Kluyveromyces lactis: one gene and its partner. The protein of the gene in region 2 interacts with the protein of the main gene of each other region in a biochemical or structural test. Links are inferred from orthologs where the notes say so. Each region holds a gene or a part of one and is shown on either strand. Other genes may lie near its edges.

Region 1 (2,601 bases), about 1.1 Mb from region 2:
ATCTTCGGTTAACGTAGTTTATGGTAAATGGGGTAAAAAGAGTTCTTCTGGTGTTGGCGGGTCGAACGTGAAGTTCACGTCTCTACCAGCTGTATCCGAACCTATATTCTCCTCCAAAGCCTCGTATACTAATTTGCGGAAAAATGGCTCTTCTTCACCGTCCTCTCCAGTTATTAGGAGCGGTTTGACTTCCAATTCATCGTCATCAACTTCTTTAAACTATGCGAAGAAGAATCAATCACCGCCAGGTTCTTCAACCGTTGTAGTGAATTCACAACCGAATGTGACAGCTATCAAATCACCTAATCCAACCAGCTTCCCCAAGTTACAAGCTACTAAGAAAAAATTTGTTGCACCTCCAGTGAAACAGACTACCATACCAAACCCATCCACTTGGGGTAAGCCTCAAAACGACAACGATTCTATCAACTTGGATTCGTTAGACAATGCATTACCAGCTAGTGGTAGTAAGAAAAAGAGCAAACAAAAACAACTACTGTTCCATATTGGCATATAGATTTAACCCCGTTATATACAGCAGATTGTTTTAATAATACAAGAAAGCTCGCTGAAACATTTAGATATTCTTCTAAGCTTTATCTAACAGGTATCGTCAGCTGTCTCGGACACCTTTGCCTGCATAATGGACACTCCTGTCTTTCTAACGTCCATTCCATGATACAATCCCAGCAGAAAAGGTGACCACACGGAGTCGCGCTGGGATCCAGCATATAGTTAAGACATAAAACACACTTACGTGAATCCTCTTTGATGAAAGGTAGGACTTCTAGATCGCTAAGATCTTTTGAGGTGTGTTTTTTAGCTAATGCACTTAAACTCTTGTGGCTCTTCCCATCATCTGTTCCAATTCTGTCAGCGATGTATTCTGCAATCTGCGGTAAAAGCTTAGAAGCTAATTGCATACCAAGTATAAAACCAAGAATCTTGTAGTTTTGCGATGACTTCTTCTTGAATTCTACCTCATTCTTGTTCATTTCATGGCCAACCACATATCTCATTCCAAATATTCTCTTTGAGATATCATAATACTGTCCGCTCAAGTAGAATATAATTAAGTGCAAATTCAAAGTGGAATCCAAGATGTCCCTGAAACTCTTGCCATTGAATACTTTCAAGAAACCAGATCCCCTCTCATTGAGCTTATACTTGTAGAATACTTTCGATAATATCCACGGTACCCCACAATAACTGATAGCGAAACCAATCCTTCGCAGGAGTCTCGCAACACCTTTTCCTCGCCTATCAACATACGCCAAATCAACGTACTCTTCTCCAAGCGTTCTCCTATACCTTAGTGTTGTAATTGACAAGTATATCAACTTGCTGAGGATCATTATCTCACTAACATACCTGTTAGTGAACTGTTGTCCCTTAACTTTCCGTAGTACATCCTGGATCTTTTGTAACAGCAAGTTTTCCACAGTATCATCCTTTTGATGCGCCTGAACTATACTAGGTGCATCAGCAAATGGGAACTTCATGTCTGGTGCCATTGCTTGTCTCTCGTCAGTTTGTGTTCTTATTCGTTTTTGAAGATGTTAGATGGTTGAAATTGATCAATTGGAGAAATGAAGTTTTATTTGATTAATCATAGGGTTCGAAACCAGAGATAACTAAACCCGATCTAACATACAGTTGTTTGGGCTGGTACCGATAGTTCAATTCTGTGAATTTATTCTTTTTGTAATTCAATAAAGATATCAACGCTATGAATAAAGTTTGGGATAGAATTGTTGGCAGTGATAGTGCCGATGCTCAAAGTGTATTGAAAGAAAGATGTTCATCTCCGAAGGACGTGACGGATTTGTTGCACGTTATTCAAAACTGGACCTCAGAGATACATAACAATGGCGAGGAAACACGATGCTGGAAGTGTGTGCCGATGCTTGCCGGTTATGTGAAGGATTGGGGTCAATTGGAGTTTCTTTGCAGAAGAATACTTTTAAGAAGTAGCATACAAGAGATACGGCCATTACTTCTTGTAACGATGAAATCGTTGATGTCCAACCATTCAGATAATACGGAGCAGAAGTGTGGGAATATACTACAACAATTGTTAATTGAAGCCGAGGAAGATTCTGGCAATGTTTCTTTACGTTTGCTTGTAGATGCTATGTCTTTGGTGTTCCCTATCTGCCTTGGCGTTTGTAGAGACATGTTTCTTTCGACAGATTTCCAGGACATATTGACTAGGAATTTGAATTCTTCAGCGGATGATGAACATCTTGTAAACGGGGCTCTTCGTCTCTTGGCTGTTTCCTGTATTGACGAAGCAGTCAGAAGATTCATTGCAGAGCATTACCTTAAGACGTTACAACAATCATTTAAGGTCGAGAAGTATAAAGTACTGACTGCGTTGGTTTTGATCAAGATCTGGTCATTCACTAAGATAGAAAAGGAAACTCTTAACTCTTGCATCAACCTTTTCATCGACTCGCTTTCGAATGGCGAAAATATCGAGATTAATACTGAAGCTTTAGCTTACTTGACATTGAAGCCCTCTGTCAGAGTCTTGCTACGAGGTAACGGTGATGTATGTTTGAAAATAATCGAGCTGATCAAGTCACAGGACACTACACC
Region 2 (2,065 bases):
CTGGGAAACGTCACGTTTCGTAATATACCCAGCAGAACCAAGGGACGCCAACAGCGCCCCCAAACAAACATCACTTAACTTCATTGCTGGTGTTTGCTATATATGCGCCTTGGATAATAAAAGGGGGAATTAGTAACCAGTACCAAGAAATGAACTTTAATTATTAAAGAAAAAAAGACGTCAGCCAAAGTATAACGTCTTCTGTAAAATGAAAAGACCCTTTATATATATACGCTAAGACAATAGCCGCTGTTTTCTTTCCAATTCAATGAGTCAGTTACCTCAAACTTTTAGGAGAGAAGGTACGTGATGTGAAATGCAAGATGGGTAGAAACATTTTCCAGTGTACGTTTAATCGTGGGAAAAAAACCTTTATAATAAGGCAAGTTTCATAGAACTTCCTTTTTTTTTTTTTTTTTTTTCAACGTTTCAAAGTTCCCACATCGCCAACTTTCGACACGGGAAACAAGCACAAGCCTTCATAGAGCGGGGCATTTCGTCAACGATTAAATATAGAAATGAAACGAGGCAAGAAAAAAAAAGAACTGAGGACACACCGTGAATGCAGATGGGAGCGTAACGGGCCAAGCCCCATCGATGACGAGTATGTTTTTTACTCTGTAGAATGTAGAGCAATGTGTAGTTGTGTAGTTGTGTTGGCTACGTTCTCCTCAGGGTCTGTCCTGTGAAGTATATCTGGGTAACTAGGTTACGGACGTGGTTTATTTTGAGTTGTCATTTGAAGCGTTTTGGCAATTTGGTGACCACTAAGTTATCTGGCTCTCCAGTAATACCCGTAATACGCAGTAACTGGGTGAAGAAATTTTGACAACTTTGTTGCCTGAGCACTCCATCGCCGAAAGGGTGATTTGCTGCAATTTTTTTCCTATATCTTATTGAAGAACTGAAAATTATTCAATTTGGTTCAATTCTGTGACGTGATTGATTGATTGACGGTCTTTGCACGCACGCAAGCACGCATGCATGCAAACACACACACACATGGGAAATTAAAGATCGAAGATGAGTAGGATTGTTAAGGAGTATATGGGGTTGCAGAAACGGTTGCAGACCCCTGAATTCTCATGGATCAGTTTTCTTGCACCGGTAGATGATGATGACTTATCCGAATGGGTATGTCGATTCCAAGGCCCGTCAGAATCGCCGTTTGAAGGGTTTGAGTTGGGTTTGAACATTACCATAGATCTGGAAAAGTATCCGATCAGTGGCGGTCCTCGGGTTCTGTTTGAGCCACGTACCGTGGCTCACCCTAACGTGAAGTGGGACACGGGCGAGATTTGCCTAGATCTTTTGAAAGATGCATGGACCCCGATATATACCTTGCTAGATGTTGTTGGAGCTATAAGAGATTTGTTGGCAGACCCTGGTTTGGACTCGCCACTAGATCTAGACATTGCCCAGATATACGATGCTGACTATGAAGCCTACGTGCAGATTGTTAGGTATAGACTTGAGGAGGCGCGGTTGGCACGCGTTTGAGTACGACTTTTACGTAGAAATACACAGCAACATGGCTGGATTTTTCATTTTTCCTTGCAGTGAAATTGAATAGGAATGATTGAAAAAGGATTAAATGATGGAAATGATGCAACTTATATTCCTTTGTACATGTTTTATACACAAATGTATGTTACTTTGACTTAGTACTTTCTTTTTGCCTAGCTTCCCTATTGTTCGCGGGGTGGAGACACTTGATTATCGAAAGAGAAATGGCTAGAAAGATTACATGGAAAGACGTTGGGGTTAAGGACGGGTTCCCATTAATTTCACCTGGGTTCGCTACAGAATCGGGGAATCAGTTACTATTCAGTAGTGGTTGTGTTGGTACAGATCCTGTTACCAATGAACTACCTGAGGATTTGGAACAACAGGCTAGAAATTCCATGATCAATTTGAAGAAAGTGCTTGAAGTATCTGGATCTTCTGTTGATTCGGTCTTGAAAATCTTGCTGTTCGTTTCCGATGGTAGTTACGCTGGTATCGTTAACAAAGTTTTCAAAGAATTCTTCCCTAATCAACCTGCTAGATCGTGCATTGTCGTTGC

Evidence for each region. The genes of interacting proteins can lie anywhere in the genome.
Region 1: the proteins of PEX4 (region 2) and PEX10 form a complex in vitro, tested with the Saccharomyces cerevisiae proteins (2 studies listed by BioGRID). The link is inferred for Kluyveromyces lactis from reciprocal best matches to the Saccharomyces cerevisiae genes PEX4 and PEX10.

Annotation. Positions count from the first base shown.
Region 1 is NC_006041.1:1,480,776-1,483,376, forward strand, and holds PEX10 (ubiquitin-protein ligase peroxin 10), read right to left. Parts: upstream 1,515-2,601; coding exon 597-1,514; downstream 1-596. Other genes in the region: E3 ubiquitin-protein ligase HEL2, read left to right, coding at 1-517; SHE4 (She4p), read left to right, coding at 1,730-2,601. UniProt on the Saccharomyces cerevisiae protein: E3 ubiquitin-protein ligase component of a retrotranslocation channel required for peroxisome organization by mediating export of the PEX5 receptor from peroxisomes to the cytosol, thereby promoting PEX5 recycling.
Region 2 is NC_006041.1:364,554-366,618, reverse strand, and holds PEX4 (E2 ubiquitin-protein ligase peroxin 4), read left to right. Parts: upstream 1-1,023; coding exon 1,024-1,500; downstream 1,501-2,065. Other genes in the region: KLLA0_E04049g (pepsin-like aspartic protease), read right to left, coding at 1-84; KLLA0_E04005g (RidA family protein), read left to right, coding at 1,731-2,065. UniProt on the Saccharomyces cerevisiae protein: Catalyzes the covalent attachment of ubiquitin to other proteins. Essential for peroxisome biogenesis. Required for UBC4-independent ubiquitination of PEX5.